4 linked regions of the Oreochromis niloticus genome follow. The protein of the gene in region 3 interacts with the protein of the main gene of each other region in a biochemical or structural test. Links are inferred from orthologs where the notes say so. Each region holds a gene or a part of one and is shown on either strand. Other genes may lie near its edges. The genes, in order: aire, ncoa6, crebbpa and ets1.

Evidence for each region.
Region 1: the proteins of crebbpa (region 3) and aire interact in far-western blotting, tested with the Homo sapiens proteins (2 studies listed by BioGRID). The link is inferred for Oreochromis niloticus from reciprocal best matches to the Homo sapiens genes CREBBP and AIRE.
Region 2: the proteins of crebbpa (region 3) and ncoa6 form a complex in vitro, tested with the Homo sapiens proteins (2 studies listed by BioGRID). The link is inferred for Oreochromis niloticus from reciprocal best matches to the Homo sapiens genes CREBBP and NCOA6.
Region 4: the proteins of crebbpa (region 3) and ets1 form a complex in vitro, tested with the Homo sapiens proteins (3 studies listed by BioGRID, with this or other methods). The link is inferred for Oreochromis niloticus from reciprocal best matches to the Homo sapiens genes CREBBP and ETS1.

Annotation. Positions count from the first base shown.
Region 1 is NC_031982.2:15,968,802-15,976,378, reverse strand, and holds the start of aire (autoimmune regulator), read left to right. Parts: upstream 1-4,574; 5' UTR 4,575-7,168; coding exon 7,169-7,366; intron 7,367-7,577. Other genes in the region: rab6bb (RAB6B, member RAS oncogene family b), read left to right, coding at 364-422, 1,012-1,065, 1,483-1,588, 1,741-1,852, 2,016-2,109, 2,681-2,747, 3,408-3,472. UniProt on the Homo sapiens protein: Transcription factor playing an essential role to promote self-tolerance in the thymus by regulating the expression of a wide array of self-antigens that have the commonality of being tissue-restricted in their expression pattern in the periphery, called tissue restricted antigens (TRA).
Region 2 is NC_031984.2:16,681,523-16,689,504, forward strand, and holds the start of ncoa6 (nuclear receptor coactivator 6), read right to left. Parts: upstream 3,001-7,982; 5' UTR 2,871-3,000; intron 1-2,870. Other genes in the region: ggt7 (glutathione hydrolase 7), read right to left, coding at 5,616-5,788, 7,454-7,553, 7,659-7,796, 7,891-7,982. UniProt on the Homo sapiens protein: Nuclear receptor coactivator that directly binds nuclear receptors and stimulates the transcriptional activities in a hormone-dependent fashion. Coactivates expression in an agonist- and AF2-dependent manner.
Region 3 is NC_031971.2:30,620,796-30,628,376, reverse strand, and holds the start of crebbpa (CREB-binding protein), read left to right. Parts: upstream 1-4,576; 5' UTR 4,577-5,418; coding exon 5,419-5,506; intron 5,507-7,581. UniProt on the Homo sapiens protein: Acetylates histones, giving a specific tag for transcriptional activation. Mediates acetylation of histone H3 at 'Lys-18' and 'Lys-27' (H3K18ac and H3K27ac, respectively).
Region 4 is NC_031979.2:15,937,424-15,945,346, forward strand, and holds the start of ets1 (protein C-ets-1), read right to left. Parts: upstream 3,009-7,923; 5' UTR 2,994-3,008; coding exon 2,822-2,993; intron 1,397-2,821; coding exon 1,320-1,396; intron 1-1,319. UniProt on the Homo sapiens protein: Transcription factor. Directly controls the expression of cytokine and chemokine genes in a wide variety of different cellular contexts. May control the differentiation, survival and proliferation of lymphoid cells.

The sequences.
Region 1 (7,577 bases), on a different chromosome or scaffold from region 3:
AAGAGAAACATTTACACATTTGATAACAGGAAATCTAAGATAACAGATTTTTCTTGCTTACTTTGAACTGAAATCCATTTTGCTGCCCTTATTTTGAGCTATTCATTGATTCATAATCACATATTAACTCAGGCATATTTTTGGTGAATTACCGGGCAGATTTTGTTCCAGTGAGTCATGGATTTTTTCTCCCCCCTCCTTCATTTCTTTTCATTTTTACTGGCTTGATAGCTGGCGCTGGTTAAATATTCATATATAACTGTGGTGTTGTCACATCAATGAAGCATATTTTCATTATGTTGATTGAGATCATATATCGATGTGTCTGGACCCTGAAACCAACCTGTGTGTGCTCTGTTTTAGTGGGGAAAACGTCTCTCATCACTAGATTCATGTATGACAGCTTCGACAACACATATCAGGTGAGATCTGGAACAGATCCAGAACCTAAAAACAATTTTAAATTATTAAGCAGCATTGATTGATGGCGTTGCTGATTAGCATCTATACGAAAGAGGTATTGGTGGTATTGCTTATAACTGTAAAAGAAATTCAATTTTTCTTTTGAATGTTGAAGGTTAATATGGGACCGTTATTGCAGCGAGTGCTTTTTGGTCAAAAACACTCAGTATATTAGATTTTCACGAATTATGTCCTGATCTGAATCATGCCATTTATTCAAACATGATCAGGAACAGCATTGCAGCACTATTAGTTTCTTTAAGAAGAGAAAATATATCATTCCCTCCTTCGCCTTTCTCAGAAGTTTGGTACATAACAAGTCTGAAGGATTGGGCCCTGAGGGCAGCACAAATTAAATTAGTGTTTCAGTCTGATTCAATTTCTGTGCTTGTTGGCTCCCTTTTCCCCCCCCTTTCTTAACAGCTTTATGTATTTGAACAAAAATCACTCTGCTAGGAACAACAGATGGTGGAGAGAAACATTTAAATTTTAATGATTGGGTTTTTGCTGATGATTTTCTCCCCCTCTTTTGTTCTTTCCTCTCCACAGGCGACCATTGGAATTGACTTCCTATCGAAGACAATGTACCTGGAGGACCGGACAGTAGGAAACCTTGATCTTCATTTTTAAAATTCTCATTTCTAAATACATGCGCAGATGACTTGAGGTTTTAAGTAGGAAACAGCCCAATTTCTTCTCTGCTTTGACTAATCCTTGATTTGATTTGCTTAATTATTCCCTTCCGTCACACACTAATGTGATTATGTTATGGTTATTTCTGGTAGTAACAGCTTTGGTGAGCTGACTTTTCTGGCCCTAATAACTCAGAGCCTTACCCATGGATCATCTGCTTTAGCCAGTATTAATACTTTTTCTTTGTCAGGATATTATTGTGCTCTGCCAGCCTGCACAGGAGCTGATACTGGCTTATCCTCCTGGAAGTGTACTTATAGGCTGTGTGTGGTGTGGCAGTTTATGCTGAAGGCGTGTGTGTGTGTCTGTGTGTGTGCACACATGCAGGTAAGGCTGCAGCTGTGGGACACAGCTGGACAAGAGCGTTTCAGGAGCCTCATTCCGAGCTACATACGAGACTCGACGGTGGCTGTGGTTGTCTATGACATTACAAGTAAGCAGAAAGCTGTAGCCTGTATATGATGCAGGTGATACAGTTGTGTGTTTCTGTGTTAAACAGACAAACACTTGAGTAAAAATATATAGTTTTTGTTGTGTTTTTGAGACAAAAAAGCCGGATGTAATAGGAAACTCTGGGCTCCACAGATGTAAATTCATTCCAGCAGACCTGCAAATGGATTGACGATGTCAGGACAGAGAGAGGAAGTGATGTCATCATCATGCTAGTAGGCAACAAGACAGACCTGGAAGAGAAAAGGTAAAGATAGTGGCTTGTAATCATCTCTAACATTTAGCTACAGTCGAGTGATCTTTGACGCGGAGGTTTGGTTCCTTAAATGAGCAAAAAAGCTGTTTGAAGCAACACGTCACTGCCGAATGAATTAGCCCGAGATGCTGAGTCTGGCCTGATTTTCCTGCAGGCAAATCACGATCGAGGAAGGAGAGCAGAGAGCCAAAGAACTGAACGTCATGTTCATCGAGACCAGTGCCAAGACAGGCTGCAATGTCAAACAGGTGATCCCTGCAGTTTTACCAGATTTCACAGCATTTTTGCCATCACTTGATTTCAGAGTCTCTGCCAATCCCCAAATCCCTCCAAGGTGACCACGCCACCACACAGACCCGGTGTGGATAAATCAAACGTTTAAATATGTACAATGTTGGTAAAATGTGCGTTCCGTATTTAGTTCTTGCTGGCTAAAGATGAATGAAAAGAAAAAACAAAAGCTAGTTTACCGATATCTATCTAGTACATTTACTCAACTACTGCACTTAAGCACACATCGAAGGCACTAACATTTAATGTTACTAGCTATACCACTTAACATCCAGTACAATTTTGGAAAATATCAAACTTTCTACTTCAATAGATTCATCTTACTGCTGTAGTTATATTTTAGAAATTCAAAATTTTAAAGTAAATCTTCCTCAAGAGTATAAAAGTTCAAATCAGGCCAGCTTCAACAAGCACTAGTGAACATTTTTGTGTTGCATTGCCCCCCCCCCCCCCATTTTTACATTTTACCATTTTTTCAAGCCTGCTGCCTCCTGCTCTCTAACCTCCTCCCTCTTGTTCTCCTCCTAGCTGTTTCGTCGAGTTGCAGCAGCCCTACCTGGAATGGAAAGCCTGGACGATGCAAATCCTGAAGGCAGTATCCTTTACAGCCGCCGTGACTCACCATGCCGATAGCCAAACAGCCCAGCAATAGGCGGCTTATTTTTAATCTCTTAGTGGCTGCTGGCACACGTACAGACAGACTGCCGAGGAATCGGCCATTAAGCCTTTTATGCTTAATAATGGAGGAATACACAGAGCCAGGAAGATGGTGTGGATGCACAGGCACAGCACCACATAGTGGCTGATTGGGAAGTGACAGCAGAGGAGGGTGTGTGATGGAGGATGGTTGTGTAAGGAAGGTGAGGGATTCTTATCAATAAATGGGAATTATTATATGGAAACTTACAAACCAAGAAACATTTAACTTTAAAGATGTGCCCTTAAATTGTAGTATAACATATGGATTTGTCTATACTATACTATGAAGCTCAACATATTTTGGTTTGTCTACAAGTCTTGAGGATTGTGGGGAAAACATGGGGCAAAGTTTTTGGGGCCTCAGATGGAGCTGCGTAACATTGGATCAGACAAAAAACTACAACTATGGAGGGGAAGGAGATAGAAACAAGTAATTGTAGCATACAGGACTTGAGTCCGCATTAGCTTACGGGAATCTATGACTATCATTTTTGGCATGTATAGGCCAAATAGTTTACTTCGCCATGTGACTTTTCCTTAACGTGCCAATTTCCAGTGATTGACATCAAGCTGGACAAACCAGCGGAACCAGCTGTGCCCGAGGGCGGGTGCTCATGTTAATGCAGAGCTGCACTTGGACAGCTCCCTTCACACCATAGGCTTGTTGTGTTGCTTACTACTGGTTAGCTTCCAGTTGACTTCTCCAATTGGATATAGGATGTGGGCCTTGTATCTGATTGGACAAATCAAATGTTATCTTTCAGTCTTGTTCAGTTGTAAAATATTGTATACTTTGTCAATATGTAAGTGACTGGAGGAGAAAAGGGAAGAAAACAATTGTTGCAATGAAAATGAACACACACACACTGAAAAAAAAACAGTTTGGAGAAAAATGAGGAAACCAATGGAGTTCTTTTCGCTGTTATGTTTTGTATTTTTTATATATAAAAAGGGAAAGCACCAAAAATGATGCCTAAACACAGAAGGAGAAATAGCAGGAGGGTCGGCCATTTTTCTAAATAGCTGAACATGTCTGAATGTCTGCAGCACGCATGCACGCTGATCTGATCTTTGACCTTTGGCCTGCCCTCCAGGGTCTCCGTACTCTGGAAGGAGGCTGACTATCTTAGAATGTTTTATAGCATCTCTCTATAGCATCTCATGACAAGACGTATCTCATTTGATATTCCCACAACTTCCAGTAGGATCACCTAACAGTAGCTGTGAAAATGTGGCACTCTATCTCTCTATGGGTTTAACTTTTATAGAACAAACTGTACTGTGGTTAAAAAAGAAGTAATAAAGAGACAACTTACTATCACAACTCCCTAACCCTCCTAAAAGTCCTCTCCTCTTCCTTCTCTCCTCCCGCTATCCTTCTGTCCTTCCAGTCTCCCCATCCCTCCATCCCGGTAATACACATATAACAATCCACTGTAATGCACCGCACTGTATATAATAATGTAATATGTATGTTGTGAACGTCCCTCTGTAGAAGTGGTCCTTGTTCACCAGTATGAATAATGTAATAATGTTTAATGATTAATAAATTACAGATTAAAGGGCTTCACTCTCCTAACCATCAACATTTACCTGGTAGCAAAATTATCTACTCTTCTATTTTATTTACTTTCTGTTTTTTCTGAGAAAATGTGAGATATGGCAAGTTGTTGAGAGTTTCCACAAGCAGGTTTAAACCACTACACTAGTTACATTAAATAGAAAACGACAGAATATATTTAAAGTGATTAATAACTAGTAATTGAATAAAATACGCAGCTACATTTACACAGCACTTATTTTTCTTGGGAACAAATGGGTTAGTAACGGCTAAGATACGCTAAGACACTGATAGCATCTAAGCTAAAGCTATGAACACAATCTGACCTTAGATATGCAGCATTTACTTACAATATATAGTGTTTAGTTATGTTGTATGCCATGTTTTTGTGTTTTTAATAACTAAATATGAAAATGTAATGAGCACTTCATGTGTGCTTATGCAGATATCAGTTGTTAACTGGTAGCTAGGCATTTTAGCTGTTATCTAACTCTTAACATTAACAACCAGTAAAAAACACTAAAAAGTGTAGCCTCACCTGTTTGATGTTTTATATGAGAACCCTTTCGTGACATTGCCTGGTGACATAAATTGAAATTATATTTGCTTTACCTCATAGGAAACCTCAATTGACATTTTAGCTACAGTTTAGCTTAATTAGCTAACTGGTTGGAAAAGAGACAAACTATGGACCATTCCTAAAACATGAAAACATTCATAACTTCCTCACAACTATGAAATCAAAATTAACAACAGTAGTCTCTGAGAATAAGCGACTGGACCAGTATAATCTCAGACCCTTCCAGATGCCTGTATTACGCATTAGCTCACCATACTCAGGGTGTCTCTCCATTATCTGAATCACTTAGCCTAACATTGGAAATCAGGATAAGCCGCCACATGAAGATGGTTTTTCAAAGGAAGATGAAACTGATGAGAAAATACGAAGTCTGAAAGCAACACAGCAGTGTGTATGAGAGTAAAAACACCCCAGAGTAATATCATATTAACAGTATGTGGCTTAAGTGCTTTATCCTGTAAGACTGGAAAAGAGCAGCAATATTAATAATGTTTTTCCAGGAACAAAAGCCGGTGAAAATACAGATTGTGTAAGTTAACAGATTCATCAATATTAGCAGCTCTATCATTAAGACATGGGAGAACCTGATGGATTATAAAAAGTATTTCATTAAATTAATGTTTAAAAGATAGTTTTAGTTTTTATTCTTTCAGCTGAACCCCCAATGATGTTTAAAGGCCTGAAAGTAAATAATAAATACAAAAATAAAATACAAACTTAGGTGATGCACAAATTTGTATAAGGTCAGGTGCTCTGTTTAGGATCATATATTGCTTATGGAACAATAATATTGTTGTCAAATTGTTTGCAACCAACAGGAAAAAAAATCCAATAAACTAAGTTGCCCAAGACTCTATAGCAGTACTGATGGTCACCAGGGGAAGCACAAAGACTTTTGTGCTGTACTATTCCACAGGTCGGAGAGTTCTTCTGGAGAACTGATTGGGCAGCAAGCAGTTATTAGGTACTAGTTGATCTCTAACCTGAAACTACAGGTAGCATATTAACTATAAGTCACCTTACCCGTTACCATATATCCTGGTAAGAAATGATCCACCTTCACAGTACTGTAAACTCAGGGTTAATCCTGAAGTCACCCAGATAAGATTAAATCCTGCTTCATAATACAGGCCTCAGGTCTCTGTATCTCATTTACAAACGAGGCAGTTGTTATTGAGACTTTTAAAGAATCTAAAACTTGAATTCTTTGCTGCGGGAGATTTTATACTGACCTTGTCACGTTTTTGGATGACCATTTCCCCCTCATATGGTTTGGCACACAAACCACAGATGATTTTTTTGGCTACTAAAGCAGTAGCCTTTTTAATGCTAAACTTAGTTGCAGTGAACTAAGGGACTTAGTGAGCATATTTCTCAAGCTACCCAGTTGTCTCCTAACCTTATTTATGAGTTAAAGTAATTGGCATTTAGACTTAATGGATATTTACATGACATGAAATTGAATTAGTGGAAACTGCAGGCAAATGCTCTCTAGTAAAAGGCAAGCCCCAAGCCTTAACCTTAGACGATTTTTATTTTATCATTCTCTTGTATATTTGGAGGAGAGACCGGTTCCTCTTTGTTTAGGCCTTTTTAGTAGAATAATGAGAAATAGAGGAACAAACTAACAGAATAACAACTGAGGAAAATAGGCATAAAGCATAGTAGGCTACCAGTCATGCAATCAGTCTGTCAGTCATTAAACTGTTTACAGTGTTAATGTTCTCCTGCCTGTGGCGAAGTCATAATTATCACACGAATGCGGAGTTCCCTGTGGTGAGTCAGTGTGTGAAAACCTGACAGGTGAGGGGAAGTTGAGGTGGAAAGAACCTTTTAAGAAGAAAACTGTCGCACATCAGGTCACTTCACTCTGCTCTCCTGATGTAAGAGGACAGGTATTCCCCTGGATGAAGGCCGTTAGTGCTGTTAGTGGACAAATGAACTGAAAAGAGACAAAAGGTCCAGGGCTGGCCTCCCTGGAGGGAAGTCTCAGAAATGAAAGGCTAGTAGCTTCATTTTTTTTCATAGAGTCATAGATGCGTTATTAAAAGCACAAACACAGGATGAAAAAAATAGAGGAGTTTTTAAGATATGGCTTATGCATCTATGCAATCAGCATGAAGCAGTGCACCTTCCCTGTGAGCGACACACCCCCCACATCTGAAATTCTTCATCTATGATCTCAAACCGTGTCAGGTCATTTCTCACTTGCACACAAAAGAAGATCATGTCAAGAGTCGAGGCGTTTAGGGACACAAACCTCCGCTCGCTGCTGAGGGAGCTGCGAACTGACATCGCTATGGCTGTGGATGACCCTTTCCCCCTGGTCTATGGTTTGGCGGATAAAAACATCATCACAGAGCAACTGCTGAAGGTACGAAACTGAACAGAGATTGGATATCGGTATTAATTGTGTAAACGTTAATTTTGATTTGAAATATTTTTTAATGCTATTTTAAGCAAGTATCGGGTACGGCACTATCCAACATTACAAATATACTGAGTTAACCTGACAAATTAGTATTATTTTTAAATAACAATTAACAATTAATAACAATTAAATATAATTGCTTATAAGTGAAAGA
Region 2 (7,982 bases), on a different chromosome or scaffold from region 3:
TCAAGGCGCACATGTGTATTTGTTTGGGAAGCAGCCAGCCGGGCTGCCTGGGTAATGGAGGAAATGAGTGTGCCGACTAGAGAAAAATCAACCGAGAGCGTGACCAAAGGTTACCAAAGAAAAAACCGATGATGGTTCCAATGCTGGAGAGCTTGTCGAACAGAATGGCCACAGAAGTTCCGTAGTGTGAAGGTATTTCGGCTATTTCAAGTCTGACAAAAAACAGAGTAGCCCGCACTGTAAATTGTGCCGAAAGCAAGTCTGGAAATACAATAAAGCGGTGCATGCTCAATCTCTGGCTGAAAGCGCTAATTCGTCATTCGGCTTTTGTCAGACTAAAGTAACTGTTAAAACTGTTTGAAAAGCTAAGCTATACAACAAGGAGAGATTGAGAATTTCCTTTTAGTTCTCAGTTTATTTGATATTGACAAAAGTTAGTCAATTTTGTCTGTTCTTCTGTAAAACAAACTAAGATTTATTTTCTAGAATTAAAATTTTGTTTCTAAGTGGAATTGACAATTTAGTAGTCTGTTTTGTTTGTTCTATTTTGAAACTTAAACGCTTTAGCGGCTGCCTTTTGTGTAGTTTGCAATATTTGCCTTTATTTATCTGAAACTGAAGTCTCATGTTCCTTAAGTACATCTACCCTGTTGAACTTATTATGGGAAATAAATATTTAAATTAAAACAAGCTGCTAATTATTTCACATTTTACTTGTGAGCAACGGCACATTTAAATCTTACAAATGTAGTTATTTGGCTTATATCGTGATATATATCGTTATCGCCTGAAATGAAAAAAACATATCGTGATATGAAAAAATCTTATATCACCCAGCTCTACAAGCAGCCTGTTGCAAAAACATCATTTGTTCCCATGCCTTTGAGGTGAAACAAAAAAGATGTGTCCTTAAAAAGGTGAGGTACAACAGAAATGACAGTCCTAAACTAAACTACATAATGCAAAAGAAGAGTACAATTCTTAAGGAAAAAAGGCAGAGGTATGCCAAATTACACATGAAATGGACCAAAAACCAGAGTGATGAACTTACAGAGTGATGAACTGAAATTTGAAAGTTCTGCAGAGCTCTGGAGCGCAACTGTGACCAATTTGGTCACACATGTGACCTAATTTCAAAATGGTGTGACTAAAAAAAACATCCTAGGTCGCACCGGTGCAACCAGCCATTCGAGTAAAAGAAAAAAAAGTCTCAGAGTGGTCAACAACAGACACACATTATGCCCAGATCGTGGTCTAAACCAATCACAGATAGTCAAGGGCAGGACCTCTCTGATTGCCCGTGGTCCCGATATTCCTGTAAGCTTACATGTGTGTACGTTTGAAAGTGCAGGCAGATAGAGAGAGGCAAGTAGCCTAGGCTGATAGAAGTGGATGTAGAAAAGATGAAAAGAACGACTGATAACTTTTTCGTTAAGTTAAGGCATGATCTGTCTGAAATTCATAGCCAGTGCTCTGACATGGAGCCATCAACATCTCAGGTTATGTCTAATACTGGTCCGGAGACAGCATCAGATAATGAGCCACATATGATCAACTCCGAGCCAGAGCCCACTGAAAGTTTCCTGGCTAAGATACAGTAAAGCTGACAACATGATGCACTGCATTTACTTTTGTGAGTGTGGAAAGACCATGGCCGGCAATACTGCATTTGTGACTGGTGCTAATACGTTTCGAATTGATCAAGAAGGCCAAATTACAGTAGTTGGCCATCTGAGGGGCATGTGACAGCAATGGAGCATAGTCCATAAGATATCAAGCTGTTCTTTTGTGCTTGTGCACCTAAGAAAAGAAGTTAGGTGCACCAGTGCAAGCGTGGCAAAAGGTTAGTCTGTGTCAAATGCCAGATAATGTATGAGAGAAGTCAGAGAGAGAAAAAGTACCCACAACCATCTGTAAAACACAGTGGAAACTCTGTCTTGGTTTGGGGCGACATTGGAGAAAAGCACCAGATTTTCATCCACTATACAGTAGCACGGTGGCATGATTGTTAGGCCTGTTCCATAGAACTATTCCTAAAGGCTACTTAAGGAAATGACTTGAATAAAAGAAAGCTTGCCTAAGAGTTTACGCTGTGTTCAAGAATAAAGATGGTCATATCAAATGTTGACTTTCAAGTTTGTTAGAATTGTACAAACTCTGCTTTTACCTCATATACTGTATATTTCCGCAAGTTTAACTAAATTTCTGCATCATTTTCCAAGCAAACTGAACAGAAATAAGTAGTGGCTCAAGACAATGGCACAGTACAGCAAGTATGTAAATGGCCATCACTGCAAATCATACGTTAACACACCTGTAATACAATGACGTCACTTTGACCGGTGATGGTGAACTTATTATCGAAGACATGTCAAATAACAGAAAATTGCTCTGTAAGAGGCAGGGTTATTTAAAGTGCAGCTTAATTTACATTACTGCCAATTAAAGTCTTACAACACATACATTTACTGCCATGAACCGTAACTTGCTTTACAACAACGGCCCAGCAGTAGCACGGGCCTTAGCGCAAACATAAGCTAACGTAAAGCGATCAAAATCCCCAGGGCGACCACATATTCCCCCTATCCTATGCTGCTGTGCATTTTCTTGCCCTCTTGAGAACACTTAATAGCCGAAAGTAACACGGTTTTCACCACACTATGAAAGAGGATAAATTAACGTCAAGGCTGTCCCCCCTGGCTTCTCCAGAGGCTCCAGTTCGCGATCGTTAGCTACGTTAGCTGGATAGCACAGAAGGTAATTCAGCATGAATGCATTGAAACGCAATGCATTAGCTTTCCAATTCGCTAAGTTTAGCTTACAACATATTATGATAAGTAAAATAGGCCTAAGAAAAGCAAAAGCCTTACCACATATATTCATCTGAAAATAAGTTGAAGCAGTCGGCATCTGCTTGCTAGATTAGCTAACAAAACATGAATCAAATACAGTGTAAATTTACAGCCAAGTTACAACTTCCGGCGATGATTTTCAAAATAAAAACCGAGGAAGTAACGTTTTTTGTAATAAAAGTAACTGAAGTAAATAAAAAAAAATTACATAATTCTAAAATTTTAATAATAACAATAATAATAATAATAATAATTATTATTATTATTATTTCATAATTCGTTTTTGTAAAATAGCAGCTGAATAATTTTAAAAGGTAGTGGGGTTGTCACATTGCTAGTTACTACCACTTTAGAAAGCATTATGGAATTCTGTCAGTATCACACATTTGACCTGACAGTCCATTTTGGAGTGGTCAGTTTGTGGGAAAAACACACAACTTTGAGTAGAGAAAGTATTTTGTAATTTTCACGGGTATGACTAATGTTTATTGTTGTTTTTGTATTAATAGATCACATAATATTAGTAATTAAAAACTAGACCCCATATACCATTTGCTACTGATTTTAAGTTCAGGTCTTGTGTAATTTGACATCCCTAAACATTTTCTCTCCATTTCCCTTCCTTAATGATTTCTTGACAGAAACACTGAAACCATTTGCAATGATGCTTCAGTAGATGTATTAACTGCAGGAATAGATGCATCTGTCAGGTCTTGTGTCAGCTCTTTAGTGGATTTCTTTTCTCTTTTTGTTAAGGACACGTCTTTGAGATACTCTTTATCTGGGGTACGTAGTTTTCTCAGCCTGGCACTTCTTCTGTCCTCCACTTGTCCAGTTTACTCAATTTATTTTAAGGATACACTCCACACACTCTGGGAATCACCTTGTTAAATGTGAAAATACAATTTTATGCCAATCAATCTGCTATATTTTGCATTTTTCATAGTCAGTTAAAGATACAATTAAAAATCCTTTGCTAAGGTTTTTGTTGTTTGAATGATTCACAGGTCAGTGTCAAATGATTTAACTGAGAAAAACAGATTCCTCAGAAAACTGTGAGTTAAAAAGATAGGAACGAAAATGTGTGGTAACGTTCAAAGAAAAACTTTGAAAAGTCTTCAAAAACCCTGGAGAACTACTGCTCAAGATCACTTTTTAAAAATTACAAAAAAAAAAAAAATCTGACAGAAATAGGTGGTGGCTCAAGTGTTTTGCTCAGTGTATGAAGGCTCAAAAAGAGATAAACAATCCTTAATGTTTAGGATGTGTGCAAACATTTTATTTGTTGGGTCTGAACAGTGCTGATTTTTGTTAAAATCAGCAAACATGAACAAACAAAGAAACAAAGAGGCAGGTGCAACATCAGACTGTGCAAATGTGTGCCTTAAGGCATGGTACTCTGCAGTACTGGAAACAAGCATCAACAGTCATATTGCACTGGTGAGGGAGAAAACAAGGTGAAAACCCCAATTTGATTAGTCAGCACTGGCCATTCTGGATGCAAAGATCAAACACATTTTGTGTTCAAGTGCAATGATTTACAAAAGTTGCTGGCTCCTGAAATATTCTAGCTAATATAACAACAAAAGTAGGCAAAAAGTAAACAGAACATCCCTTCCTAAATATGTGCCGAGTGAATGCAATGCTCCAACAGTAGAAATAATGTGTACAGCACAACAAATGTTCATATAAAAATAGTCATTACATTCATTCCATCTCTAAAGAATTTGATTAATCCAAATTTAGGAACAAGTGTACCAGCTCTAAAAAAAAAAGAAAAAAAGCCTTCACAGGTTCAAAGTGAGAACAAAATCATGCAACAACTCAAATGTCTTAAATTATGTATTTAAATACGTTCACTCTACAGTAACTGATATTTAAAACCTTTTAAACGGAATCATATCCACTTGATGAGGGAAATTGATTGAGATAGGACGGTCTCATCACATTTGTGTACGACATATAATGCGTTTGCTAGTCTTAAAAATGGTCCAGAGAGTCACTGTTTGTTTGCAACAGTTAAAGCTGCAGCAGCTGTACCAAACAACATCTAATCACAGTTACACACCATATAACGAGCAGGAGAGTAAAAGCTTTAGCCTCTGTGTTCAGTTCAGGACAGTCTTGTTCATGTGTGACAATACACGGCTTAATCACTGGTGTAAATACTATCACCTTCACCACTCCATTTGATCTCACACGCGATCTGGTTTAATGGTGAAATGTAGTGCAAGAGATGAAAAGCAATCCGGTGACTCATATGCACTTTGCACCATGCATGTGCTGTTTAAATGGTGACTTCATGGCATCATTACTTTTGTTAATTTACATAAAACCTCTCGCTCAGGTCTAAACTAGCTGCTACACCCAATAATTTCTAACCTTTAAAGATTACAGTTTTCACCACCGACCTGGAGTGTGTTGGATAATAAGTTATGAGCACACCTAACATTTCTTTACCCTGCTCTGCATAATGCAGGCTGCAGACTGATGCCACTAAGGGTAAGGGTACTGAACACACATTTTCAACACTATGTACACCGTGACTGGACGTTACATGAGGATGTGGTAGAGTAATTGATATGCAAGATGGTGACCATTTTAGTATTCTTGTGAGCAAAACAAATTAGCTATCCAGGATCCCTTTCAGAATCTTTTGGTTATCTTTATCTGATCAGCAGCCTCCTCACTCTCTCTTTAGGCGTCATACAGAGTAAGTCTTACTATCTTGGCATTATATGTTTGTACGATTGGACGGATGCACTAAGGCATATTGGACATAGTAAGGGCAGAGGCATCAGCACTACGGGGGTCCTTCACTCCAATGATGAGGTCATTAGTTCTCCGTGTGCCCTCCACCAATGACAAAATATCTCTTTTCTCAACTATGTGACCTTTGGCTTCCAGCCCCTCCACATCCTCTTCTAAAAACTTGGCTGCAAGAGAGAAAGAGAAAGTGTGAGACAGAAGATGGTACTAACATAATGTTGAGCTAATAAAAACAGTAGCTGTGGGATCACAGTGTGGTTAAACTCTAACTGTACAAGGACCTAGTATATCAGGTTTGTAACCAAGCATGTGTTTTCTGGCTTTTGACTTATGACACAGATTCAAGGGCAAGATTAAGACAAGGTAGAAGGCAGCAGAGGCTCTGATTGAGCCAATGATCATCACTCTGCTGCTCATCTACCAGTCAATAAGCTCTGGTAGCTAAGAGATGGACCATTAATTCAACCATATGATAATTCATGATTCTACATTAGGATACCTTTGGATTAATACCAATAGATTCAGGCTACCTAGATTAGCTGGACACATTTTTCTTTTGTACTTTAGTGAACTGATTGGAGCCAAATATTGGGGTTTTTTTCACAAATATTTTTAAAAAATTTTTGTAGATTAGTTGGATCTATCTAGAAGCTTTCAGTTAGTAGTTTACCCCTCTTGTTAATATCAACAGAGCCAGAGGACAATAAAGTGTATTTCTAATAAACCAGATAATTCATCTGTCTGTTTTTTGTAACACAGTATTCATCTTCACAATTTTCCCAGGCAATCATAGATGTAGAGCTGCCAAGCTTTCTTCTTTTCTAAGAGCCCATGCACTAAGTTGCTAGATTACATGGACAGCCAGCAGAAGGTGTGTACACTGTGGTCATAACAGTTACCAACAATACTTAGGTAAGCTGAGACATTTAAATGAGGCTTAATTCTTACTAAGTGGCCCAAAGTGTGGCGAGAAAATATCCACTACATCTTTACACCACCAGGACCAGATCCATGAATTCATGTTGCCAAAGTATGACTCTGTTGTCTAAATGCTGCAGCACAAATCAAGACTCATCAGACTCATCAGAGCAGGCAATGCTTTTCTTCTGTAGTCCAACAAATTTCCCACGTGTGGGACTAATAAAGGTTATCTTATCTTATCTTAGTATCTGTTAGTCTATGTATAACTAATAAAGTGGCTACTGATTCAATATTATTATTCATAAATCCTGGACGTAACACAAAATTCTCGTGGGATTTCCACATATGAAATTAAGATTTAGGGGGTGGGTGTGGCTCAGGTCGTCCACTGATTGGAAGGTTGGTGGTTTGATCACCGGCCAAGCTGCTCTCCATGGATCAGTCTGAGTGTGAGGGTGTGTGCAAATGCAAGACAAAGCGCTTTAAGGCATAGAATGAAAGCGCTGTGTATGTGTGTGTGACTGAAAGAATTAGGCGTGTAGTAAAAACCACTTTGAGTGCTCAGTTAGAGAAGTGCTATATAAGTACCAGTCCAGTCCATTTATGCTACATCCTACTAAAACTACAGAAGACTGATCTTTTAACTAAGACACTTTACTGTTCCATGGAAACACTAAACCTTGGCATCTGCTTTCCATGACAGCAGAAGTACCTGCTGCTTTTCCTGCTCCTCCTCTACTTTGCATAGTGTACACAGAGAACACAACCTGAAGACAAAATAAGCAGTGGTACAAGGGTCCTACATGTCTCTTTGCATGGTGTTTACTGCATGTCATAGCAGTAATCATGAACCAACACTGTTATGCTTGGATCAAACCTGATAAAAGTGTCTATCAGTAAGAAAAACTCACAGTCCACTAGGAGGGTGTTGGGCTCCAGCTGCGGGTGGAGTCTTCCATATGCTAAACTGTCACTCATGTTTTTACGTGAAGACAAAACATTCATCAGCACCTATGAAGGATGAGAATAACATCAAAGTAAACTTCTGTCAACGTGTATTTCCACACTGATGAAAATAACTACGATAGTTACAAATTCCTCCAGTAATTAAGCAACCTGTGTTATGCCACTGAGAGCCTTCTCTCCATTGGATGATCCAACAGCTACGTATGTGCCACATAACCCCACGGCTGGCCTCACTGCTGTGGGCATCAAGAAGGACATGGGTCTTTTCCCAGGGTGGAGGTTGTTATGCTACACCAACCAAAAGAAAACAACATCCATGAGAGATTCTGCAAATGTGTTAAGAACAAATACATTAACACTGAAACAAAAAAGTTGCAATTACTGGGTTAGGCGATGAGCCCTGTGTTTTATTAGTCCATGAGAAGTCCAGAATCTGACTATTCAAAAGGATTCCTGAAGGAGTCACTATCCCAC
Region 3 (7,581 bases):
TAAGCAAGTGTCTTTGGCATGGAAGATAGACTGGTCACGTCAAAAACAAAACCAGTGGATGCAGTGGCTATAAGATTGTACTTGATGTCTTTCATGGGAGTGTTGCCTGAGTCCTGGGGCGGGTTTTACCTGTGTTGAGCACAGTAGTTTATGATGGCGAACGAGCTGAAAAGGGAAAGAGGGATTTGTTGGTGTTGTTGTTGTTGATGCTTTTGTTATTAAGTGCCTTCAGGACTAGAACAGTGAACAAAAATAAGAATACTGAACAAGTTTTAACAATGTTAGACTACAGAACAAGCTGTGGTTTCTTATTTCATGCTTTTATTTTGAATGCAAGTATTTCTTACAGAAATCATTATTGTTGTGCCATATCAACTGTTTTAACTTGATCAAAGTCCTGACCTTACTTAAGGGAAAATGATTTTAGATTTTATATAAGTGCCAATGCAGCATGACAGGCGGAGCTGGAAACTTTGGGAAGAATGAGGGAATCACATGAAGCAGTGTTAATTTATGTATTGTGCTTTGACATCAGGGCTTAATACAGTATTCATTTGTGCCAGAGTCTCACTTTCAAGGGACATGCAGGCTGCAGAGATTTTAGTTCGTGTAGCAGCTCAATGCACATTTTAAGCAAAGGTCTTGCACAGTGTTTTTCTTTTTTTCGACCACTTGTATTCAGTAGTTATTACCAATAAATAGCTTTTAAGAAACTTTAAACAGAGCTGAGAGAATCAAAACCACAAAATCTAATCAGACAAGGGACTATAGATCTGGAAGAAAGGTGGTTTTAAAAAGTGAGACCATCACAAATGCAGGAAGGCACTTTAAATATACTGGGATCTGTCTTTCAGGCATTAAACGCTCACCTCTCACACATGTCCAATTTTACAGGTAGTGTAAAATTGTCTCGATGCGAGCTAGCTGATATTTCAGCTTTTTCTTTGATCAGAACCACTCCTTTATATGGCGGGCTGCTTGGAAGACCAAATATCTCTCTGGTGATATTTTGTATTTTTGTTTTGACCAAATGAAAAGAATGAAGAGGAAGCCAGCAGCGTGTTGGCCTGTCTTTGAATACAGCCACTATCCCATTTGCTCCTACTGGAATCCTGATAAATAGCCAAAATACGAGAATCACTCTTTCAAACTACCATAAATTCAGCACTCCCATTTACCGCACTCACATCCACACCAACAACACAGATTTCACTCATTATTAATTATAAGAGAGTCCTAATAATGCTGGCAGGTAGTATGATACTTGCAAGTATTGCCAGTGCTTTAATTTTGTTTTCATTGGAGTCAGTAAGACAAATACAGAATATCACCATGTCCTCCGATGAGGTGAGCGCTTGATGCTCGAAGGATTTCAGGTGAAGTATAACTTTAAATGGGACTGTGAGGGACAATCACTGCGTAGTTCTTGGTCAGTGATGGGGTGGTCCACAGGCTGTTGGCGTCGGTGTCAATTTAGGGATGTGTGACAGTTTCCACAGTACTGTGTGTAAAACCTCAGACTTAAATCTTGTGACTTTTTTTTCGTTGCCTTCATTGCTAAAAGAAAAAAAAATTAAACAATGGTCAGTCCATCCGTGCAGATTACCCAACAGATCATTGTCATCTGCCTTTATCTTTGTGATTTGCTGTTGAAAGATTGGGACTTATTACCTTGATCCTGTCAGTGTTTTCACCAATCGGGGCCTCTACTGATTCAATAAAATTGTGCCACTTTAATTGAGTGATTATAGGTGCAGTGCAGCCTAATCTAGCTGATTGTTTGTGGTGCCTGAAAGTATGACTGTATTTTTTTTTTTCAGTTTTTGGTTTCCAGAAAGTTTTTTTCTTTCTTTTTTTTTTTTTTTTACCAAGCTGTCATTATGCTGAGGATAGATTGTGATTGTATATTTGAGAAAATTAATGGTCATTGTGTGCAGGTTTAGTTTCTTTTTTGATAAATTCCAGATATTTTTTTGTGCTGCTTTCCAGTTCTTTCCTCCTGACACAAACCAGCCATCTGGAAAAGTGTGGTGGCGCTCCCATTAAATCGCTTGCTCGTTTCCCGTTTCTCTTTCCTCACTTCGTGCTTTGTCTTTTCTCCTGAAAGCACGTGCTTCTCTCTTATATTTCCTAAGTGTGTGAGAGATATAAAGTTTTATGTCAACTCAATCATATAAAAAAGACAGAAATGGAGACAGTTTGCTATTGCCTTATCCATAGATTACTCATTTTCAGCTTTCACCACCACATGTTTTAAAAATGAGTCAGCATTTGGGTTAGATGGCCTTTCTCTGTTCAGAAATATGTCCACATGCAAAAATGCCAGAATGACAAGAAGGATGAGTTATGTAGCTGTCGGGACCTGTAGCAAAACATGTTTATTTACCTCTTTCACTAAGCTCTCTGGACATACACAGCCTGTGCCTTTTGAATGTGGACTATGTTTAATCATAGCATCAATTATCATAACCGTTGTAGCATTAATACCCTGAAAATCCAAAGAGGTTTCTCCAGAAGCCGTCACTGCAGACGCTGAAATAGTTAAGAGTCCTGCTTTTGTTGCCCAGAATCATTATTTTTTGAAAGATTTACACTACTTGTGCATTTTCTCCACTTGCTCTTGTTTGCCAGATCTAATGAAGCATAGCACACAATGTAACACAAACAAAGGAGACTATCGAGTATCAGCTGTGAAGGAAAGTTCACCGTCTTGTTGCCTTGCGTTGTTAGATGATCTATGGGATTTTCAGGCCATGTGCCTGCAGCCCTACCATGCACAGCAGTGACACTAACTAGCCATAGATCTGAGGTGGCGTAGGAAGAACTCCACAGGTTCATGGGTACACAACCTCTCCGGTAGCACTAATCTGTACACACACATATGAATAAAATATTACACGCTGCTGACTTATGTGACCTGGGGTGCAGTAGGGGGAGATGTGTGTGAGTGAGACTTGTTTGCATGTGAGTAGTTTCCTTCTTTGCTAGTCCTCTCCTTATTTTTAGTTTGATTCTGTACTATACTGTCATCCTATTTCATTTCAATGTCATTCTACATATATGTTAATTATTATGCATAGATTTCCAGTATTCAGGAAATTCAAATCACTAAGCTTTGCTCATTTAAGGTTACCTGAATACTGTCCTTATTTGACAGTGTATTTATAAATGATTTGTTTCAGTTTTGGCAGAAGATAGTTCTCCAGTTTAAAAAAGGATAAGTTCATGGCATTCAGTCATCTCTTTTTTTTCCTTTCTTTTCTTTTTGCAGAAGTGTGATTCTGCTTTATGACAGAGAAATAAGGGAAATACATAAAGGCATAGAGTGTCAGCACTTAAGCATCACATTGTCACTCATTTTAAATTATGTCAGCTGCACGTCTTTTCATTATAATTTGCAAGTAAATTCTACCCGTATGTGTTTTAAGTTACACTGGGACAGATTTTAAACAGTGTTGTTTGATTTGAAATGTATTTGTTTAATGTTCATGAATGAGATGTATAATGTACGTTTTGTGCACATTACCCATGTATCATTTATCAACACGTGATAGTAATCTGTACACATTTGCACAAAGCACTCAGTGTTTGTACATATGCAGTTATTTTGTCACATATGATTTTTTTATACATGTGCATGTGTCAGATTCTGTCCAAAAACAATGAATAAGAGACACATATTATCAGATTGATTTATTGTGTGTCTGTTTGCTTATGTGTGAGTTATATGACTTTATTCCTCTTTTTTTCAGTATGAGAGAAATAAATCTCCAAGCGGAAAGCTTGGACTGTCTAGCATACTGTGACGTGTAAAGTTACGTAGAGTTGAATTTCTGTGCATATAATGACTGATGACAGACTGTACTGTCATTTAGTTTTGCATTTGTAGAACTAAATAAGAGGTGAGGGAAGCAACTTAGAGATTCTCAAAAAGGCAACTTACAAATTGGACAGGTTTTAGGGAGGATTAGGCCTAACCTAAAAGGTCTCAAAATTGGAGACAGGGTTGTGATCTTTATCAGCAGCCAGCTGATGACTGAAGTTGGGGCACAGTTCATATTGACCAAGTGCATTTTAACTGCAAGAAGGTATGTTTTAATAATTTGTTGCAAACTGATAACAAAATTTAAAAGACAGTAAAATATGATTTAAAAAATGACGAATAAGTGGCTAGAAACTGAAAACTTTTGAGTATTTTTATTGTAGTCAAAAAAACTCCAATATCATGCAGAGATTCATATTTTTCCAGTTATTAAAGCAAATTCAGATCCTTGAAATGTACATTTTATATCTAATTTCTTTTTTCCAGAAAAAATCACGTGAGTTTGTAAAAATAAGGTAAAATATTTAAGTTTGCATTAAAACATCTTATAAATGATATTTCTTTTATATATTAATGTATATATTTTGCCCCAAGTTTACAAAAATAACTTAAAAGATAAGATCAAGTGGGTTGTAAAGTGCATGTGTGAATCACTGGTTGTGCTGTAGCGCCCCCAGCGGTCAGCGGTGATGGTGTTTTCACGTAGGGCGTGAATGCGCGGCCCCTCCCCCTCTACAGCCGATCTGGAAAAGAAAAAAAAACTTTTTTGTACCGAAGGAATCAACAGCCGCCATCTTGTCGTGGCTCGGAATTAGGATTTCGGTCCAACACTGGGTTTTACGTAGAAATCGAGCATCCTTCCCGTGGTATGACAGCGGCCTTCTGCCGAAAACGAAATCGTAATATCGCTTCGGAGACATTTTGTGCGAAAAAACGGGAATTGGATTGGTGGTCGTCGGGCAGAAAAGCTCCGTATATCTGATTTCCCCTTCAGAGTGCGGTGATTCAGCCCCTGTCGCCGTTCGGGAGCAGTATTGTTTACCGTGGGCAAGCGGAGAGCAGATCGTGACTTTCGAAGAGATTTGCAAAAATACGGCATTTTTATGCAATTGTGCATTTTTGTGGAGCTTCGCGCGATTTTTGCATGAAGAAATTTGACGTCACGCAAAATGGGTACTTTGAACATCTAGAAATTACGACTTTTCTCCCGGAATGCAGCAATCCACCTGATTTAACTGGATCGTCAGTGTGAGGCTCGATTTTTACATGGGGAATATTTTATTTTGGGGTATTTAACGATAATAATGTGGGTGTTGGGTGTTGGATTATCATGGGGTGAATGGCGGTGGCGAAGCGGGGCGCTATTGCATCTCTTTTAAAAGACACCGACTCTCACGGCGAGGAGTAGCTAAACGCTAACAGTTACTTTAGCTGGTAGCAGGCAATTAGCTAGCTATTAGCCAGTTAGCCAACGTTAGCAGGCTGCCAGCTTGCTAACGTGCTAACCGGGAAGGTTTTTGGTGATTGAACAACTTTCTACGTATAAGCTAATCAGAATCATCAACTTAAGCGACCGGCCAGGCAAGATTTCAACTATGGCTGAAAACCTGCTGGACGCCGGACCTCCACTCTCTAAGCGGCCGAAGCTGAATTCACCTGCCCTGTCAACGTCTGATGGACAAGGTAAAGGCCTCGATACTGTCGGCACACACAAACCCAAATGTAATGAACATTTGCACTTAAACTTCTCTTTTACTAATGGGCATTAAATCAGCCGATCCCATTGATGCAACGTTACACGTTATCCAGTCGGTTGGGTAGCAGTTACTGTGGTTTTACCGCAGTGTTGTGGTTTCATTCTGAGGTGAGCATTTACTGCACCTACCCTTAATACGCAAATGCCAGTCTTGGTACAGTCGCCTTGACTTCTGCAGCAAACCTTAACACAATACGATCAGCACAAGAACTCACCTGAGCGTCTAAAGTGGTCACGGCTACAACAACTCTAACTTTAAATTACCTGCAGCAAAAATAAAACTTCTGCTATCTTGAGAGGTGTTGCATTAGCTTTGCATTGCTGTACTGTAACGCTTTGAAAAACCACAAGACTAAAATGGCAATTATTTCTCGAATCAGGTGCAAGGTGGTGTTTTTTGTGGTAGCCTGACATTGCATTAACAGCAGGTACACATGGCATGATAGACCCACAGAGGTAACCTAGGCCCTAATTAGCTTAAATAATATTGTCTTCAAAATCACAAATCACATACCACTTAATGCCAATGTTTGTTCACCTGTTAAGACTAAGTCTGATGAAGTTTGCATCCATTTCCATTTATTTCAGGTACGATTTTAGGTGTGTGTAATCACGTGTCAGAGAAGAAAACGACTATTAACAGATACCATTTTGGTAGCTGTGCCCACTTGGTTCAGCTTGCGGCTATAAAACAACAACAAAAAAACAACCCTCACTCATCCCAATGGCCACTCCATCCATCCCTGAGCAAGCCTACATAGCCACACTCAGTCTGGATGGTGCTAGCTTCCTTTAACTTATTGAATTCTTGCAGAGAGTGCAGATATGGTTATAACGTCACATATCTCAGCAGACGTGGGCACTGCTGAAAAAAAATGTGTAGGAATGCAAGATAGAAATCTGTATGTGGCTCTGAGTATTGGAATTTGAGTGATTAGGAAATGCCTGTCTTGTATCTGTCATTTCTTGTAATTGGAAAGCAAAGATTGGGGATGTGAGTTCCCACCTGGCCCTAAAAAATCATTTTTATTATAAAACAAGACTAGTGCTTATTTTAAATCAACTTTTTGACTTGTTCTTCCAAAGTTGATAGCTGAAATTATAAAGTCATCTGGAGACTTAAAAAAAACCCTTGAGTAACGTGTCTTTTTCTTTCATCTGATTGACTGCGTGTTTTTGTTGAGGTGCTTCATGGGCCCTTAATGAAAACCTGAGTTATTGCAGCACTCTTAACCTGTCTGCAGTACTGTGTGGTAAAGGTGGAGTAGCTGAACTGCATTTCTGCAGCGCTCGCTGTTTCTGTGATGGGAAAATGTTGCTCCTGGTGTGAAGATACAAAAATGAGTTAATTTCATATCTTCAGCATAATCAGAAAGTAATGTATGCTTTACATGCAGAAGCACCCCGAATTACAGTTAAACTAGGGCTCGGCAATTAACCAATTTATAATTTCAATTCCTGATTTTGTGTTTCAGTGAAAACAAAGTGTTGGGGATAAAACAGTGGCCCTTTTAAACTTATTTTGACTGCAAAGGTCTCTCTCTCTTTCTTATTTTTCTCCCTTGTGCTGTACATGAAGCACAAACCTTTCATTTATAGTGCATATTTTTGCTGTTTGGTTCACTTCACGCCACAATGACATTTTAGCTGGAGCCCAACGTTAACAGCATCTCTCTAGAGTAGTTAAAAATCTCAATGTTTCCATTGGTGAACTTGTTGAATGATCATTAGCGGTTACATTTTTCACTGTATCAATCAAGGTCCTTCACCTGATCTGTTTTCTGTGCAACAGTTACACTTCCAAACATCCCCTGGGGATTTTTCACAAGTTTACAGGCTTTACGGTCAAGAATACCCATTAGTCTGGGCCTAACATGTACTACCAGACTCCCATGTGTCCTTCCTGCTCCCTTTGCCCATTGTTTTGGTTTTAATTTTTTTTTTTTTTTTTTTTTTTTTTTAAATTTAAACATATGAAAGGCTTCTGTGAAAATACACTGCA
Region 4 (7,923 bases), on a different chromosome or scaffold from region 3:
AACATGGAGTGCATAAATATCCAAAATCTAAATTTGCAACTCACTTTTGAGTAAAACAATGAGTGGTCTTCATATATTGTGGAGGTAATGAGTGATTCTGGGCACAGCCCTTGCAACCTGCTGCTGTTCACTCCATCCTTCATGTCTGGGGTTCTTTCATTGTGTTCATTATTTGTGCCGTTTGTGTGAACAAAAGATATGTAAAGAAAAGGACTAATTCAATGCATTACAAAAGGTAAGGTTTACAGTTACAAATGAAACTAATTGCATTTGTATCCATTTCATTTTCAACAAGCTGTTTGATTCTTTGAGTTTTTCTTTTTTTTTTGCAGCTGTTTTCTGCATACTGCCTTTGTGGAATACATAGAACTTAGATATTGTCTTAAAGAGAGAAAAAAAATATCAGAGCCTTTGCTTTTTGCTGATAATTTATGTAAATTCAAGAGAATAAAACTACCGAGGTGACATGGGCTCACCTTTTGACCAAGCTGCCCTTGTATACAGTAGTCTCAATTTCAAAGGCAAGCCCCACCACCTGAGCCAATTAGGAAACAGGGAGAGGGATCATTCTGTGTTTTGTATTAGAACGGGGTGGGGTTGCCATTTGCATGTAACCTCAGTCTATTATCCTAATGTGCTGGTGCTCTGCATACAAATGGAGGCATTTATTTTGCAGCACACTGGCCTTCACCCTTCAAATGCTCACCTGACAGGAATCCCAATGTTCCCAGCAACTGTCTCTGACTTTGTATTCAGCGCTACCATTTGGAAAGTGTTAAGGGTTCTTGCAAACACACTGCTGCAAAGCACAGCGCGGGTGGCTGAGCTGAGAAAAGTGCTGGTCTGCTGGGATTGCCTGACTCCAGTTTGATTGGTTAGTGCCAAGGCTGGAGGCCTAGGTCTCATTATTTACAATATTACTTGCTAAAGAGAAGTACACGGTGCAGGCTTGTTGTGCAACACAGAGGAGCTCGAAAGGGCAATTTCACAGCCGTGTAGAGAATTGTCTTGTTCAACAGCTCTGTTTCCTAACTTTTGATGAAATCATGAGGAACAGCATGTACAGATACAGGCACTATTACTGCAAACCCTGGTGGAGTGAACTAAAAAAGAAATAGAGTATCCTCCTGTAAGGTGATGGAATCCAGAGTTGCTAATACACTGACAAGAACACCACTCTAATGCTCCTGCACACATTCCTGCACTGAGCAGTTTGCACACACACACACAAATGCTCATTCACTCACACTCGTGGATGGCTGTGTGGTAGGTAGCCAAGGCAGTCTTAACACAGAGATAATTTACGAGGGAGGTCTTACCAGTGTGCCCAGACGGTCACAGGGGTGAAGGGCTGGGTAGGAAGAAACTGGATCCATGTAGTAACTCATCACGGACACTGTGGACAGGAGAAGCAGGGCCTGCTGAAGGGATCAACGTACAAACAGTGCAGGCAGAGAGAAGCAGCCTATCCGTCACACGCTGTTTACACTTTGTGTGTGCAGGTCCATGGTATATGTGCATGTATGCATAGGTGTGTGAGAGAGGAAAAGCTGGGAGAGGAAAGGGGGTCAAAAAAGAGATGAGATAATACGGGGAAATAGAAATTTGAGCTGTTTTTAAAAAAATACAACATCTTGTCATCATGTCATTTTTTACATTTGTTTTTGATTTACAATATATATTTGTGTTACCTTATTTCTGTTGACATGTAGTCAATCAATCAATATCTCACATTGCGCTACTTCATGGTTTAAGTCTGACAGGATGTTATTTTTTTAAGAAAATCTTTGGATGTTCTCAACAAAAATGGATTTCAGCTGAAGTAAATCCATCCACTGAGCGAATCTAACATTTCCACCACTTCTTCCACTGTCTTCCTCCCTCCCATTACACCAGTCTGCCTCCTCCTTTCATCTACCTCGCTTCTTCCTCCTCTTCTCCTTCACCCTCCTTCCTCCTCCTCCTCCTCCTCCTCTCCTTGCCGCCCTCCTCCACGCTTCTGCTTATCACTTAACATTGTTTACTCAAAGCAGCACCAACAAAAGAGACTGAAAAGTGAACTGAAGGACTGCATTAGAGGTGGGTTGTGATATGGGCAGTGTTGTGTTTCATACAGGTCTCATCTTCGTCACATTCATATGTTAAGCAATTTGGCATTTCTAGTCTGTGGCAGCTGCTGACAGAAAGATGTGCAGCCGCTCAATGCTTGCAGATGTTCGGCATATCAAAATAAATAAATAAATAAAATTAAAAAAAGATTCAAATGCTTTTATTCCCGTAGAAAGAAAAAAATAGCACAAAGTGAATAATTACTTCTGTCATTCAAACGCATGCCTACTTTTAGCCGTTCAAGTCTCTCTGATTTATTGAGAAAAAGGCAAAAAAATAAAAAATCAATAAATCAGTGCTAGATAAAACATCCATATGGGTCTAACTCCACATTTAGTCATATAAAGAGATGCTATTTATATATGAAGCTACATTTCGGAGCTCTGTTAGAAGTCAGTCTAAACCCCGCTAATTGAAGGCAATTAGCAATCCTGAAATTTCTTTTCTTCAGAGAAAATAAAATAAAACAAAAACGTTAAGGCAACTTTTTATGCGCAAAATAAGTAAAGGTGGAACAGGTCGGAAACAACGCGTCACGCATTCGGAAGAATTCCTGACGGGAAAAAACTAAAACTTTAAAGCCAACACTTTCCCTCTTGTGGATCAAAGGAGCGACGAGCGCAGATAATAACAGCGTCTTCTTATTCTACCACTGACCTGTAAGAAGATGCAGAAAGAAAAGGAGAAGAAAAAACAACAACTTTGCACTTACCGACTGCGGTGTTTAAAAGTTTCCTGTGAGCGCTGGACAGCTGAGTGTGACAGCTGAGCGGTGGACTGCAGAGATGCTGTACCTGCCTCGCAGCGAATCCCACGGAGGAAGAAATGATATGCACACTTTTAGTCCCTCCCTCAGTCCTACGGTGATCCTCTCCAAATCCCATTTTTCCTCTGTATGTAGTCTTTGGACTTCACATGTGGTTCGCATGCAGCCAGAGTAGGTGTAAACTTGTAGAGAGGCTGTGCTGCCATGCTTTCCTCTATTTTCAGTCAGCTTGTGTTTCAAAAGCTTATAATATCTGTATTCTCTTTCACTAAATATAATAGTGTATTTTTTTTTAGCTAAATTAGATTTAGGTTTGTTTATTTCCTTTTTTTTTTTTTGGTTTGTTTGTTCCTCTTCCTCTGTCAGAGTCATGACAGGGGGGAAACAGCAGGGAGGCAAAAAACAAAGGTTTTGACTATGATTGCAACTGTTGACTTTCCTGTGATGTTGTCCTCTGACACCGTTATTTGTCTGACAAATGCAATTTCTTTCTCTCTCTCTCTTTAAAACAACAATCTCAGATGTCTGAGCATGTGTGTCAAGCAGCAATTTTACATCCTTGTATTGTCGGTATAACCTGGCACAGTATCCCAGACTTCTCAGATCTGGCATCAACCTAGGCTGAAATTACCTTTTAAAGGAAACTGTGGCTGTCAGATCAATTTGTCTTAGCAGAAAGCACCTGCATATTTATTTACTGTACATCACTGACCATCATATCATTCTCCAACCTTTAACTGCATGCATGCGGGACACTGATTAAAGCTGTGGTAGAAACACTGACTGCTCTTCTGCGAAATGAGAAGCCCCCCCTTCCCCGACTACAAGGCAAAATCTACATCCACCTGTTCTGATAGAGGATAGTGATAACTAATCGAGAGTGCGGAGTCTTATCTGTCTATTTGCTTATTCATTGCCGCATTTGTTTGCTTATTTCCACGCTGGAAACTCACAAGCTTTCCACTGCATTGCTCCCTAACAGCATGAAGCGCCAGCCCCCTCCCCGACTGCTTCTTCTCCCCTCTTCTCTCTCTCTATCAGCTCAGCACTCAACACTTGCGAGGCATCTGAAACACCTTGTGGCTCCATGATAATAGCGTGACCCCAGTGCCGCATTTGTTTGAATTAGAAAGTGCACGGTCCAAACCTCCTGACAACCACTGCTCTTACCAGTAAATCTTAAGTCTGGGGGGTAAAGAGGTGTGTGTGTGTGTGTGTGTGTGTGTGTGTGTGTGTGTGTGTGTGTGTGTGAGTGAGTGAAGAGCTGTGGGGATGTGGGGTGGGGGTCAAGTCCAAGGTGAGAGGCGTGAAGAAGTACCATAAGGGGCTTTCTCAAGACCTCATCTGAATCCCTTGGTGTTCTCAGGGCCTCAGCACTCTGGGCCCCCAGGGGACACAGATGGGCAACACGTCGAGGGCAAAAGGCGAGGGTATGACTTATTGCCATGTGGAGAGAAAAAGCACGAGACGCGCCCCCGTGATGAAACCAAATTGAATAAAAGCAGGGGTGAATGAGATCCAGATCTTCAGCCGATGCCCTGGCAATGCTGTTTCAATTAGCCGGCTCACCAGTTCAAAGGCGAGGCCCCAGATACACTTCTGCTCTGCATGAAGCTACTATCATCACTTTGCCCCTTGCCTTTCACCTCCCCATTACGGTGCCATCTTTTTCCGCTCAGAGCCTCAGCCTGTCTGCTGGCTGTGCTCATGTTTTACATTAAACAGATAGTGAACGCCTTGCCATCGCAGTCGGTGAAAACCATCAGTCAAACAACCTGCAGGATTTTACAACCTTTACAATCACTCTCTTGGTTTGAACTGCATCTGCATCAGCTCTGAATTAAACTTATGTTGGGTTATTTTACTAGAAGAACAATGTTTAATACATTTTTTTCTTGTTTTTCTTTTATCTAAAACCATGTGAACTAAAGGTCATGACAGCATTATGTACAGCCCATATTGATACACAACCCCTTATATAAAATATGGTAATATTTATACTGAAATTACACTGTTCTAAAGCATCACTTTAACTACGTTTTTCCTTTTAGCTGCGATATATAGGAATATTCATCATCCTTCTTGTTTTCTTGATGGTTTCCTGTCAGCTCACTGCTCAAATGCTGCAGCCGTTTGTCCTCCACTGGTACCCCACATCTTGTTGAGCAGCTCCAGACTATGAATCCTTTTGTCTCATTTTCTCAATTTGGATCTTCCAAAGATAGCACTGACAGGTGATATTAATGGTCTTTTATTAGCATCGTCCTGATTGCTACAGATTTTTTGGAAGCGCAAGATAAAAAGAGCGAGGGAGGAGAACAAAAAAAGAAGGAGAGAGACAGACAGAGAGGGAGAATATGGAAGTCCTCCACCCACCACTTCTCACAGGAGATCGCCTCTCTTTGATAGCCTGCCCGAATCTGTTCCCCCCATAGAAACTGCCCTGCAGATGTTGTTGCTGTATGTCGACTACAAAGAAGGAGCCCTTTATGAGAGGAACATCTATTTTGGGCCTCAGTGTTTCCGAGCTGTGGTGCTCAGCGAGAGAAGTGCAGGCCTAATCTTTCTGCTGTTGAAAACTCTGTTTTATTCTCTGCCCATGATATTTTTAGATTAAAGCGCAGTTCTAATGAATAAAGTAAGAATGTAATGTTTTATGACAGTATCAATATGCCATCACTGTGGTGGACTTGGGCCTAGAACAGCCTACGTTGCTATTGGCATCAGCAGACAGAAAAAGGGGTGGGGGTGGGGGGGCACATGGGACAGTAACCTCAGTGAAATCACGAATGTGGAGAAGCCTTTGTTTCGGGCCTGACTATACTCGTTTAGAAGCGCTTGTGGCTCAGATTTTCATCTTCAGCCACAGAACCGTGACTTTGTTGCACTGTTGACTGCGAGGCAAAGGTCTCGGGGGCAATATTAGCTCTTGATATTATTTTTAATTAAGGCACCAATCCTTCAGCCAAGTTGTCCAAACAGTTCTAAATAGGCTCTGTAAATCAGACAAACATCCTCAATATTTGATGGGTTGAGAGTGTGCACTATAGCCTCCAGATGGTTTGTGTTTCTCAAGCGTTTCACGAGGGATGGTACGGGACAGCAATCTTCTGTTCGAGTGTGCCTCTTGACAGAGAAGTTCCTCCAAATCACATGCTGAGTCGCTGGACTTCTGCCTAGGTCTTCTCTCTCTCTCCCTCTCGTGCTCTCTTTCCCCGCTGGTCTTCTGACTCCTCTGTGTGTGGATTTATCTGTAAGCTATGTGTGTGCACGAACTGTAGCTCTTGCTTTTTTGCCAGTCAATACTTTGTTTAATTAATTCCATAACAAGCTGATTCGTGCTGAAGCTAACACTATGCATTTGGTCTTTTACCCCCACCCCCCCCAAAAAAAGGCCAGCACAGCTCACGATATCAGGATATCGAGCAGTTGTGTGTGTCATAGTCAAAGCTGTTCAAAGCTAATGCATTCTTTGATAAGTGCAAATGTAATGGTGCTTAGGAAAAACAAATCAAAACACTGATGTTTTACACTAAAAGAAAAAAAAAAGATGGGAGTGTAGTAAGATGAAAGGCAAGCAGTCTGAAGATGTAGGGAGAGGACTCGATGCACAGTCCAACTTTCACTGGTTGATAAGCTGCTGGCCTGGCGCCAAAATCCCCATCCCTACCCCCCTCAAACACACACATACTCACACACACATGTTCAAACACCCCACCCAGTGGTGAGCACTGACCCTCACCAGCACCACCACACCAACGCACACACACATACACGCAGCACCACCACTCCAGTGGCGTCTCCAGCTCGCTATCCCTCTTCATTAGTGTCCCAGAACGAGATGCTTGTCATGTAATTAACAGAGGTTTTCTGAATGCCTGCGTAACGCACGCTCTCATTAGGACAGCGAAAGAAAGGGCTGGAGCGAGAGAGGAGAGGTGGAGAGGCAGGCCTGGGAGGCACGTAGAGGGAGAGCAATCAGGGGAGACAGATGGGGAGAGAGACGGACAGGACAGGGAGAACATGGGAGGGGGGGGGGGATAACGTGTTTAGAGCAGCAAGAAAAACAGTGACTTACATGTCGAGGGGCAAGGTTTCTGACTTTCAGCGTGCCAGCTAGGGACACAACTGACAATTACTGGGATCTGGACTAAATTATAACGACTTACCTCAGTCAACTGCTATTCTCGTTAATATTCAAAAAGTCTTCTAGAGGTCGTTTAAGCCAAGCCCTCCTCGGTTTTCTCTCAGGGTCATCGTATTTAAATGTGATGTAAAACGAAACAGATAAGTTGAGTATGAATAATGAGTATAAGTGTAAAGGGAAAGTTACCTTAGCTGTGGAAAAACATGTAATTGTGCTTATGTTTGAATGACTATCAGCCCTGATGACCTGTCCTCGGTCTCTATGGTAGTCGAGATAGGCTCCAGCCCACTTATTAGTCAAAGAAACAGATGAATACTGCTGTATATTTCCCAGCAGCTAACATTTAGCAGAAGACTGCAGAAAGTCTTGTTGAAGCTATGCCAGGTATAAAGCAAAATTGTGCATGTGTCATCCGGAACAGTTGGTTCTCTGGTGGATACTGTACCTGTGTGACCTGAGTTTTCTTCATCTGACACAGGTGGAGCCAGCTTAGAGGCCTATTGTATACGCTTAGGCTGGCATCACAGTACTTAAGGGCAATTATAGTTCATGGAAGGCTAGACCCTTGAATTTGGAATAAGGAAAACACACAATACAACCTACTAATCCATAATTGGATTAGAGCAACATCTTTTAGCATGTGCACAAAAGCATCTGATGTATTAACACTTCTTTAAGTGTCCAGCACACTTAAAATGTAGTGATCACATGAAAGTTCATGGAGATGCCCAGTAATGTGTTCCATGAAAGATTTCCTTCACTGCTATTCCTCCGAGGAGAGCATTGAGTAAGGATAAGGCTCTTGCAGAGTGCATAAGGATGCCCTATGGGTGCCCTGATAGCATCACACAGCTGATGAGAGAAACACTGTTTACACACTTTTGTGTCACGTAATAAATGA